Sus scrofa: one gene and its partners. The protein of the gene in region 3 purifies or fractionates together with the protein of the main gene of each other region. This does not show direct contact. Links are inferred from orthologs where the notes say so. Each region holds a gene or a part of one and is shown on either strand. Other genes may lie near its edges.

Region 1 (4,228 bases), on a different chromosome or scaffold from region 3:
TATTGTCACTGCAGCGGCCTGGGTTGCTGCTGTGGTATAGATTCCATCCCTGGCCCTGGAACTTCCACATGGCACCAGTGCATCCAAAAAAAAGGCAAAGGGTGGAAACATCAAGATGAAGGATCCCTACAAAGATACAGAACAATGCTTTTGTTTGTTTGTTTTGTTTTGTCTTTTTTTAGGGCCACACCCGCAGCAGACGGAGGTTCCCAGGCTAGGGGTCTAATTGCAGCTACAGCTGCTGGCCAATACCACAGCCACAGCAATGCCAGATCTGAGCCTCGTCTTCCACCTACACCACAGCTCTTGGCAACACCAGATCCTTAACCCACTGAGAGAGGCCAGGGATCAAACCTGCAACCTCATGGTTCCTAGTCGGATTCATTTCTGCTGCGCCATGAAGGGAACTCCTAGAACAATGCTTTTTGCAGTATGGTACTACTACTAATGACACACATACAAAAAGACTATTTGTTTTGAAGATTAGCTTTGATTTTCACATATCATTCTGAAGATTCACAATCTCCTTTGGAGGAAATTAAACAGGTACAAAACAGCAAGGATTTAACACACATTAAGAAAGTTTCCCTATTAATCACCTTAACGTCATGAATCAGAATCCCATGTTAACAACACAGTAAAATCCAAACTGAGTTTGTATGCAAGAGGCTGGGTGAACCCCTTCCAGTCTATCTGAACGGTTTATGCTATGGCTTCTTAACCTGGCTTCTAAGAAGACAACAAATGGGCTTCAGAAACGTCTATGATTCCACTGAAAAATCGTAACATAAATTCTCTGTGAAAGAGTAATTATGTGTGCATTTTCTGGCAAGAAGGCCTTAGCATTCATCAGAATCTCAAAGGGGTCCCTAACCCTAAAGGTAACTTTCATAGGGCTTTGCAGAAAAGACAGCACAAATTCCTGGCTGCTCAAGTTCAGAACATTTCAAGGTAGCCTAATTATATTCAAAACAGGAAGGAAGTGACTCAAGTCTCTGTAGATTAGGCATATGAGACAACAACTAAAATGAAACAATGGAAGAGAAAATGTTCTGAAATGCACAAAATGCTGCAGAGGTGCAAGATAGTGTTTAGTGTAGCAAGGGAGCTGCAGTTTTTCCTTTGCCTCATACCACCCACTGAGAAGCACAGAAAATGCATTTCAAGAGGAAGTTTGAATCTAGACTCATAAGAATCAAACATCACAGAAGGTTCAACCGAAAAGAGGCAAGAAAATAAGGAAGTGGAACAAATAACATTTTTAGAGAATACGATGGAGTTTGTATAACACATTAACTTGGTTTCTAAAACACCTCTTTTTAAACTCCTCCACCCGTCTCCCTATCTTCAAAGGAAACCGGTAACCCCACTTACATTATAGAGGCCATGAAATAACCACATAAGGTTTGAATTATCATAGTACTATTTAAAAATCAGTCTCCACTTCCATCTGACAAGACAAAGTTTGGAACAGTCGCAAAAACACTGGTGCGCAATGGTTTCATTAAGATTGTTTACTGGATGCTGTGGTGCCATTTTACCTTTTGAATTACTTCAAATTCAAAGCAGAAAAATACAAGCACTGAGAACAGTACAGAGACCTGTCAACTCAGTTCCAACTGCTAAGACGAAAACTACACATGGGAGGTTTAGTTTTGGCCTTTCAGTGCTGCCATATGCCTATATTGCCTAAATGCCCAAATGGGTCTACTTGTCAGTGATGTGGTGTGTGTTGGTTTTGTAAGCTGTAATTAATGCATGATTTAGAAATTCAACTATAGTTTTAAGGGACTGTAAAGGTTCTGTACACAATAGGGGAAAAAAATTTAAATGAGATGATGCTAAGAATATTCACTGAATCTTCCCTACCGCTAAGCACCATACTCCCCATTATCCCCATCGGAAAAATGAGGAAATGAAGACTCGGCCAAATGAAGTCACCAGCCCAAGGTCACCCAGAGGGAACATCTAGTTTGAACTCAGACGGTTCAGATCTCAGAACCTGAGCCAAGCATTGCCTCCCAAGTGCAGGTGGCGTTTGCAAGACCCCGACATCCTGGAGACTCTCTGCCGTGGAGCGGGAGTCGGGATGCCAGAAATGGCGAAATCGTCCATGGGGGTCCTCTGGCGAGTCTCAGTGGAGGGAAGGGGTGAGCGTCGCCCACTACCAGCAGGGCGCCTCCGGGGACGGGGGTCTTGGGTGACTGTGGGAAGGGGGTGGTGACACCTGCAGTCTCTGGGGGCCGCAGCCGGGAAGACGCTCGCATTTTACTTCTGTAATTGGCCTTCCTGTGGATTGCCCAAGCCCCTTCCTGTTAGGAAAGCGGCTCCGACCCCACCGCCTCCCCGGACGGCCTGGGACAGAGTGAACGAAAGGGAAAGGAGGGGCGGGAGGGCGGCGGCCCCCTGCCCGCCCGGCTCTGACAGGCCAGGGGCAGGTTCTGCCCCAAGACCGCCCCCCTTCCTCCTCGTCGTGACCCCAGGCATGGGATGCAGAGGTCGACTGCCGGGACCCGCCCGGCTCGAGGGGCGGCCCCGGGGCAGGGGTCCTGGCCAGGAGAGCTGAGGGGAGCGGGCCCGGCTGATGAGACTCACCTGGCCCGCTGCAGTCAGCGCACACTTCGCTGCTCCGGAGCCGCTTCGACATGGCTCCCGCCTCCCACCTGCCGGGAACCTGGGGCCCCGAGACAGCGAAGGCGGCGGCGGCGGCGGCGGCGGCGGAGGCGCTTCCGCTCTAACGGGTCCCAGCGGCGGCGCTGGCGGCAGCGCCTCTCCCTGAGCGCCTCGCAGCCGCGGCCCAGCACGCACGCGCGGGGAGGCACCCTTTGGCAATAGGCAGATCATGTGACCGGAAAGGGCACGCTGCCCTGTCGCCATATTGAGTGAGGGCAAGGATCTTCCGTCCTGCTTCCAAATTTTCTGTAATTTGTCTCCCTCTCCAGAAGAAATTCGCTTCTTCCCAGCACTGATTAATACCAAATCTAGTAACCAGAAGTCTGCAGCTGCAACCTGCCTGAGGTAATCAGTAGTCAAGTCATTTCGCATAACTTTGGCCAAGTTCATTTATATATTCTTTCCTTTATTCAGCAAATTACACACAGTGTTCCAAGCAGTGAAGAAAGAGTAGTGAGCCAAGAGGACAAAATTTCCTGTCTTTATGGAGCTAACATTCAATTGTGCTAGATCTACAATAAGTAAAATAAGGGTATATTATGTGTTTCCTTATGCTGCAGTTTTAATATAATCTGCTAGAGGAAGATAATGTGTATCTACCGCTAGCCTACAATTTTCTTTTGTATGGCTTGCACCTAAAAATGATTTTCATAGTTTTATTTTTTTGTTTTTGTTGTGTTTTGGCATGTGGAAGTTTCAGGGCCGGGATGGAACTGGAGCCATAGCAATAATCGAGCCACAGCAGTGACAACTGAGTCCTTAATTGCTCGGCCATCAACTCTTAATTTTTACTTGTTTTGTTGTTTTTTAGGCCATATGGAGGTTCCCAGGTTAGGGGTAAATTGGAGCTACAGCTGTCAGCCTACACCACAGCCATAGCAATGCGGGATCCCAGCTGCACCTGTGACCTACCCACTAGCCCACAGCAACACCAGATCCCGGACCCACTAAGCGAGGCCAGAGATCAGACCTGCATCCTCAGGTTTACTGGTTGGATTCCTTTCCACTGCACGACACAGGGAACTCCTAATTTTTACATTTTTGAAGGATTGTAAAGAGGAAGGAGAAGAGGGAAAGGATGAATATTTAACAAAACTCATATATGAAACGTATAGCTAAATATTTACTGTCTGGCTAAGAACAAATGGAATAATTCACAGAAGAGTGTGGTATGCTTGCCTCAGAGTGAACCCTCATTAATAGTAGCCTCTTGAAGTTCCCGTCGTGGCGCAATGGTTAACGAATCCGACTAGGAACCATGAGGTTGCAGGTTCAGTCCCTGCCCTTGCTCAGTGGGTTCACGATCCGGCGTTGCTGTGAGCTGTGGTGTAGGTTGCAGACTCGGCTCGGATCCCACGTTGCTGTGGCTCTGGCGTAGGCCGGTGGCGCAGCTCCAACTAGACCCCTAGCGTGGGAACCTCCATATGCTGCGGGAGCGGCCCAAGAAATAGCAAAAAGCAAAAAAAAAGTAGCCTCTGTTATTATTGGAATTTGATATTACTATTATTTCTTAATCACAATTTTGAGGATAACGATAGATAACCTAATATACAGG
Region 2 (4,098 bases), on a different chromosome or scaffold from region 3:
CCAGCTGCCTCACAGCTGTTCCCTGTGTGTCCAGGCCTGGGAGGAGAGAAAGGACAGAGCCCTTTGGGGTCAGGCTGCACCTTACTTTTCAGCTCCATGACCCTGCAAATTAACCAACCACAAAAGGGCCACAACCCCACTCCTAGGGCAGATTGCAGGGCTCCTATTACAGTGAGAAGCTTATGACTTTGGGTAGGAAGCATATTCCAAGGAGGTGGCTCTGGGCCTGGGCTCCAGACTGTTGGTTTCCCTCAAGCCTCTTACCTAAGCTGCTATAGGTCCCAGACTGAGAATGCCACCCCATGCATCATAGGGTGCAGGTGCCCCTAAAAAGTCAGCTGAGGTCCTGAGAAGCATCCAGACCCTTAGGGAATGCCTACCAGACAGCATGCTAGGTGCAGGGGTTGGGTGATGAAGAAGACTTTGATGGCACCCTGCCCACCATACCACCTGCCTCTTCCTGACCTGTATTCTGGATCAGGGGAAAAGGTAGTACCAGGAGCACAAAAGGTCTCTGTGGGATGAGGACTTGGGGTACGAGCTGGGTTGGGCACCCCAACACACCAGATACATACCACTCCTCCCTATGCCCGCTGAGCATCTAGAGACTTCAGCCAAATGGTCAAAAGCAATGGAGAAAGGACAACTGCCTTGATAATGCTGCCTGTGTCCCCCAGGTCCAGAATCAGGACCACAGACTTTGGAGATAGGATAGTTTTTTTTTTTTTTGGTCTTTTTCTAGGGCCTCACCCACAGCATATGGAGGTTCCAAGGCTAGGGGTCTAATCGGAACTGTAGCCACCAGCCTACGCCAGAGCCATAGCAACGCCAGATCTGAGCGGCTGGATCCTTAACCCACTTGGCGAGGGCAGGGATTGAACCCGCAACCTTGTGATTCCTAGTCGGATCTGTTAACCACTGAGCCATAGCAGGAACTTCTGGATAGATCTTAAAAACCATTTCTATTCCAACTTCTTTACCTCAGAGTTGAGGAACCTGAGACCCTGAGGGGGAAAAGTCTTGCCATGAGTCAGAGTAAGCTGGAAACAAAGGCAACACCAAAATCCAGGCTCCCCTGATAAGATATCTACTAAGCACCCCCTCCCACTCTTACTTGCCCTTCCCACCCCCACTGTGACGTGTGTCCAGCAGAGATGCAAAAGGGCGGCCTGGGACAGGCACTGAGAAAACAAGTTCTCCTCTTAGCCCTTCCATCCCCAGACCTGCCTGCATTTGGGGGAAGGAGATAGTAGTTTCTAACTCATCAGGGGTAAGGTCGGATGACCCACCTCCTCCCCCATAGCTTCTTGGGGGCACTCTGGACCCTAACATGCCCTGAGAGGAGGCCTCAGGGTCATGACTACCCAGACTACCATGCCTCTGCCAGGCACCCACAGTTCCCAAACACTCTAGCTTGGAGACATCAGAACCACCAGAGCGTCTGTTGCTCTCAACCTGTTGGGGGTCCTGGACCTCTCCAAAGGGTGGCTGGAAGTTATGGGCACACAAAACAACACCCCACACTCATGCTTAATTGCGCCCATAGTCCCCCCTCCCTGAGTCCACCCGGTCTCCCAGCAAGATAGCTCCTTTTATAAAAAGAGAGGCCGGTCAAGGGCCAGGGCTTCCTTCCCCGGGCCAGATGCTGAGCCCCATCACCGGCAGCGTCCTCCCACATCAGAAGGAAGCATCCTCTCCAGGTCACTGCTTCTCACTCCCTCAGCAGGTCAAGGGGTTTCACCTGGACCTGACTCTGCTGGGAATAAGAGAAAAACCACGGCGACTACAGCCAGAAGGCAGGCCAGGAAGCCAGGTGAATCTCAGGAATCTAGGCACCCCTTGGCACTGCTCCCCACCCATTTCTGACCAGACTGGCCTAGGAGATGGCAAGGGGTCTGTGCTCAGGTTGGGGCAATGCCAAGCCCACCTTCCAAGCAGGCCTTACTGGAGCACAGGGGAAGCTGAATCTCGTTTCCAGTCATCAGGCCTGGGGACGCCTCAGGGGAAGATGCCCAGGCTCAAGTGGCCCTGAACACCAGGCCCTGCAAAGGGCCCCAGCCTTGGGAGCCAGGGGCAAGGAGTCCTAGGAGTAGCCACCCCGTCAAATGCTCCAGAGGAAACAGTATCCAGACCCCCCCTAGCCCATCTGCCCAGCTCTCTGCCCCTTGCCCTCCGCCACCCCAGCGGGCGTGCAGACCATGCGAGCAGCAGGTGCAAGACGCGGGGGTGGCACTGAGATGACACAAAACCTCACTCGCCCCCACCTCCTAAACCCCGACCGGCCTCGCCACAGCCCTCCTGCCACCCCAGGCTGGCGCTTCCGTTTGGATATGAGATGGAAGCGGGGGGTGCAGCCAGCTGCCCGCCTCCCTCTGACTGAGGGGTGGGAGGCGGCGCCGGGAATGTCCTTTCTCGCTTGTCCACGGACACGAGGAAACTGGGGCCCCCAGGACGGCCCTCCCGCCAAGGACGAGGCTCGGCAGCGGCCGGGGCGGGGGCCGAGGCCGGAGGCCGCAGCCCCCAGCCCCGCCCCGCCCTCCGGCCCCGCACGGCGCTCCCGCCAGGCCCCGGCGCCCGCCCGGCGGCGCCTCGGTGCGCGGTCCCGCCCCCGGCCCGGCCCCGCTTACCCGGGGCGCTGCAGTCCGCACACACCTCCGCTCGCGGCCCCTTCCGGGACATCCTCAGCGGCGACGCGGCCGCAGCCCTCTGGGCCAGCGTGGGGGGCGCGGGCGGCGGGCCCGGGCGGCGGCGGCCCCTGCTGCCCGGCCCGGCTCCGGCAAGGCCCCGGCTAGGCTCCGCGCGCCCGGCCAACCGTCCGCCCCCGGGGCTGGCCCGGAACCCGCCGTGCCCGCCCGCCCGCTCGCCCTCGGGCGCCCTCCGCCCCGCGCCGCCCCGCGCCGCCCCGCCGCCGCTCGCCGCTCGCTCTCTCCGCCCCCTGCGCGGCTCTCGGCCGCTCCTGCAGGAAGCGGCGCAGGCCCGGCCCACCGGGGGAGGGGCAGCCTGCACACCCGCCCCACCGCCGGGCCCTGCCGGCCGCGCCTCCCGGAGAAAGGAAGCCGGGAGCGCGGGCGGGAGGGGGTGGGGGCGTTTAAAGGGGCCGCGGCCGCCGCCGCCGCCGCCGGGCCCGCGCTGCAGCGTCGCCTGCGCCCTGCACTGGGCTCCGGCGCGCCCCTGTCCCTGAGGCTGTGCGAGCTAGCCCCACAGCCCCATCCCCTTCACTGAGACGGAAGCTGGCCCGGGGAGCTTGAGCCCAGGGACAGTGACCCCTGGGGATCAAAGAAGAGAGTAAGGAGCTGAAGGCCCAGGCCCCCCTCCTCATCCAGAGGCTGTGGTTCGGGGTAACGTTCCTGTCTCTGTTTGGGGTGAGTTGTGCGTCCTGGTCCGCTGTGTGTTCACATCTGTGTGTCCAGGTGTTTGTGTGGTCACACTCTTGTTGACTACGCACACCGCCAACAATATGGACGCCCAAGTGCCAGAGGTCATGCAGTGTATACCCCTGCCTCCGAGCTGAATAAACATCTATCCCTCCTCCCGGCTTCCATCCAGAAATGAAAGAGTGTGGACTGTTTTTGAAGACCTCCTGAGCAGTGACCACTGTGCCTGTGTACAGTAATACCCACTTGGCATCGGTCTTGCATACATCATTGGTGTTTCTGAGCCACGGGAAGTCTGCGTGTCCAGGGCACAAGCATATAACATACAGGGGCCTTTTTTGCGGTGGTTTTTCCTCCTGGACTTCACACAGAGACTCGTTGGAGGATGGGGGACAGGGAGAGGAGGCAGCAGGCCACACGTGGGTGCACCCCAGCACTGAGCATGCTCCCCCATACACGTGTGCCCCACGTGCACCCAACCCCCATCTTGCAGCAAGAAAGGCTAAAGCGCTGGGTTTGTGGAGAGAGGGCAGGGGTGCTAAGGCCCAGGCCCAATGGGTCCTGATGAAGTGGTGACACGATTAAAGGAGGGTTCCCCAGTGGCAGGCGGGGAGTCCTGCTTAGTAACAAGGGGTGGGGGTAGGAGGCGAGTCCTTGGGCAGGGGTGCAGGAGTTGGTTGATTTTAAACCAGCGGTGCCAGAGCAGCAGTGACTTGTGGGTGGG
Region 3 (3,500 bases):
AGACGCCAGCCTACGCCAGAGCCACAGCAACACGGGATCCAAGCTGTCTGCGACCTACACCACAGCTCACAGCAACGCCGGATCTTTAACCCACTGAGCAAGGGCAGGGATCGAACCCGCAACCTCATGGTTCCTAGTCGGATTTGTCAACCACTGTGCCACAACGGGAACTCCCTAAGTATTAATTTAAAAAAAAAAAATCTGGTTCAGAGAAAAAGAATACATACAGGAGTAAACAGATGACTAGGTAAGTGGATTTCCTTATTCCATCATTTCATAAGGGCTCTGGGCAAGGGTAACTTCTTAAAGAGTGAATTTTTTTTTAAGTCAAATAAGAATTATCTGGAAGTAATTAAGAGCTGCTAAGCTAGAGAATCAGAAACTTCAACTTAAGAAGGCAATGCCAGCATGCAGACTTGGCAGAACCAGTCATATCAAATCCTCTTTAGAAGTAGTTAAGTACAAAGAATAAATCAAAGGCCTTGTCAGATGATTCTTCTAAGCCCACAGATCAACCAGTCTTCCTTTTCATATGAGTTCTCCTCAGGTTACTGAAAAACAGAAACAAGCTACCCTAACACAGCCCATTTCTGGTCACTAAAGAAAGTAAAACGGAAGTTTCTACCTGACAGCAAGTAATAGCACGCTCTGATTACAGGGGCACAAGATACACTCTAACCCTAGTTTTTGGGTTACTTTTTGGCTGTGTGAACTTGGGCGGAGTATTTAGCATCACTAGCCTCAAACACCTTAACTGCAAAAGATAAGGATTATAATGTCTGTCTCCACAGGGTTAAAATGAGGAATACATTTTTAAAAAATCAGGAAAAAGCCTTGTTTGTCATTTGGTACATAGCACAGGTTCACAAAATGTTAGTTTCCCTTCCCTCTTTTCCTATAACCAAGACAGCAGATCTGTCTTGTATCAAGGGCAAACATCAATAATGAACATAGCACTCTTTCCCAGCAGGTTGTCTTTCTCAACATGATATTCCAGACTATTCACTGGGTAAAAGTTATTTGTCATCTTCACAGCCCATACCTAGGCTATCCACACTCTCTTTCATCACATTCACATCCTAACAGGGCTGCTGAGACAGAGAGAAGGTGGGTACGGGGACAAGGAGAAGAGAAGCACAGTCTGTGGCTAAGACATAAAGCACAGTCAGCCAGCCACATACACCAAGTGCAGAACTAAGATCTTAACAGCAACAGAATTCCATCTTTGTGTTCAAACAGCCACATACCAGAGGGAAATTCAAAGACCTACAACGTGCTTACGTAATTTCTCCAAGATCTCCTCATCAGACATTTTGGGCTTCTTCTTCTGCTTCTCAGTATTCCGAGTCAGGGCATCCGGTGGAGTGGTAGTGCTCTCAGTAGGTGAAATGGGAGATGTAGCCACATCCCGAGTTGGAGTAATAGGAAGTGGTTCAATCACAGACCGTGTGTATACCTGCATTTTTGGTGCAAGAATTTGGCAAGGCTAACATCTCTAAGAGTCGTGTGTTAGAACATCCACAGAAGAACAAACCCCAGTAAACTCATCCCTTCTCCTGGGTCAAAATCTATATTCCTCCTCCTGTGTGCCCAGGCCATGAGGATAGAATGGCCTTTTTGGCCCTCCCTATAAACAAAAGGGATTAGTGAGAGTCTGAACTCTGAAGATATTCAATACAGGTTAGACAACTCTCAATATAGAGTGTAAAGGACTTTCTACCATTAGACAGGAATCCCCTCCATCTGTAAAATTCTATTCTTTCTCAAGCTGAAATGAACATCCTGGACTCCATAGTACTTTGCATTGCTAATGCAACACTTAACGTTAGTTTCATTTGAGTTATTCCCTCTTTAAATCCAGAACTCTTGCAGAGAAGGAACTATAATTGCTTTTCTTTAAGAGGCAGTAGGATGTAGTCAATTAGACTATTGATTCTGGAGCCTGATTCCCTGGACTCTTCCTCTTACCATTTGTATGTCTTGGGGCAGGTTACTTCTCTATGCTTTAGTTTCCTCATTTGTAAAACGGTGATGTTAGTGATACCTATCTTACAGGGTTGTTGTGGTAATAAATTAATTATTGTGTGAAATGAGTAGTATCATACCCAGCAGACCTCCTATTTATTCATTTATTTTAACATGTACTGAGAACCTATTATTTGCCTTACTGCACAAAATGCATCCTCTATTCCTGTGAAAAAGTCTTAGAGAAAGTCCTAACTGCAAGGCAGAAAGGGATAAATGTCAGAAGAAATGAGCAAACTATATACTACTGAGGTTCAGAAGAAGTCATCATAAGTTATATGTCCTTTCCCCAGGAAATGCTTCAAGGCATTTATCTTTTTTTTTTTTTTTTCATAAAAACATCACCATAATTTTTTGGCTAGCCTCTAAGCTCCATGAAGACAGGGAATGTGTGTCATTGATTCCTGAGCTCCTAAAGCACTTGCCTAACAAAAAACAAGCATTCAGGTAAATGACAACTCCATGAACAAATGAATGGGATTCTTCAACTGGATGTGAAGGATGGACAGGACTTTACTAGGTGAAATGGGAGAGAAAATTCTACAGAGAGGAAAAAGCAATAAGTCCAAGGCACTGAGATCAGAGACTACAGCTGCTTTCCAGACTACTCCAGCATAAGGATTTCTTAATATTCTATTCTTGCACATATAAAGAAACTATATCCCTGGCACCTAAACCTGTACTTTCATGCCTTGTCCTCCTTTAGTTCTCCGGACACGGCTCCTTGAGGGCACAAACCTTTGCTTCTCTAAAATGCTCTGGCTCCCAGCACAAATCTGCTTACATAAAAAGGCCACTGCACTACGCTAATAAAACCTGGACTTGGGGTCAATTACCTGTTTTCAATCCTGGCTCTTTTACTTCCTAAGAGACTTTGGATAGATCAATTCGCCTTTCCAAATCTGAATTTCTTCTATAAATCAGGAATTAACAATGTCTTTTTAGAAAGGAATGGTATGAAGATCAAATGTATTGATTCATTTGTCCATTCACTACTAACTACCTTTCTAAAACCTGCCAAGAACTATGTTAAGCACTGGAAATATTCATGTATTTCCTCTACTTTTGAGGAGTTCCTTGTTTACCAGAGAAAAAACTTTAAATGAATATGCTTATAAACCAAAAAAAGCCATGCCAATGTGAGGTATCTTAACAACTCTTAATTTTGAAGCTCATTTTCCTTAAGATAATTTTGCAACTACAGAAAGAGTGATTCCACAGATTCTGCTTATAAATTCTCATCCTAAAAGGTCATCTAATGCCCTTGAATTTCCTCTGCAACATCTCCCAGGGTCAGTCAACCAACTTCTGCTTGAACATCTCCATGAATTCTCTACTTCTGAGACAGTCTTTTTATGAATTATCACAGAGTTTAAGCCCTAGCTCATTCTTGCATTATGAAGCTCCTGTCATAATAAAAAGTCCAAACGAAGAAGCACTAATAGAGTGTCATTTAATGAAAGATCAGTGCTCAG

The links. The genes of interacting proteins can lie anywhere in the genome.
Region 1: the proteins of PAK1 (region 3) and GIT2 purify together in Homo sapiens (affinity purification with mass spectrometry; 5 studies listed by BioGRID and IntAct, with this or other methods). This does not show direct contact. The link is inferred for Sus scrofa from reciprocal best matches to the Homo sapiens genes PAK1 and GIT2.
Region 2: the proteins of PAK1 (region 3) and GIT1 purify together in Homo sapiens (affinity purification with mass spectrometry; 6 studies listed by BioGRID and IntAct, with this or other methods). This does not show direct contact. The link is inferred for Sus scrofa from reciprocal best matches to the Homo sapiens genes PAK1 and GIT1.

What each region holds. Positions count from the first base shown.
Region 1 is NC_010456.5:40,994,562-40,998,789, reverse strand, and holds the start of GIT2 (ARF GTPase-activating protein GIT2), read right to left. Parts: upstream 2,801-4,228; 5' UTR 2,648-2,800; coding exon 2,596-2,647; intron 1-2,595. UniProt on the Homo sapiens protein: GTPase-activating protein for ADP ribosylation factor family members, including ARF1.
Region 2 is NC_010454.4:45,780,818-45,784,915, forward strand, and holds the start of GIT1 (ARF GTPase-activating protein GIT1), read right to left. Parts: upstream 2,801-4,098; 5' UTR 2,680-2,800; coding exon 2,628-2,679; intron 1-2,627. UniProt on the Homo sapiens protein: GTPase-activating protein for ADP ribosylation factor family members, including ARF1.
Region 3 is NC_010451.4:11,858,075-11,861,574, forward strand, and holds part of PAK1 (serine/threonine-protein kinase PAK 1), read right to left. Parts: intron 1,457-3,500; coding exon 1,282-1,456; intron 1-1,281. UniProt on the Homo sapiens protein: Protein kinase involved in intracellular signaling pathways downstream of integrins and receptor-type kinases that plays an important role in cytoskeleton dynamics, in cell adhesion, migration, proliferation, apoptosis, mitosis, and in vesicle-mediated transport processes.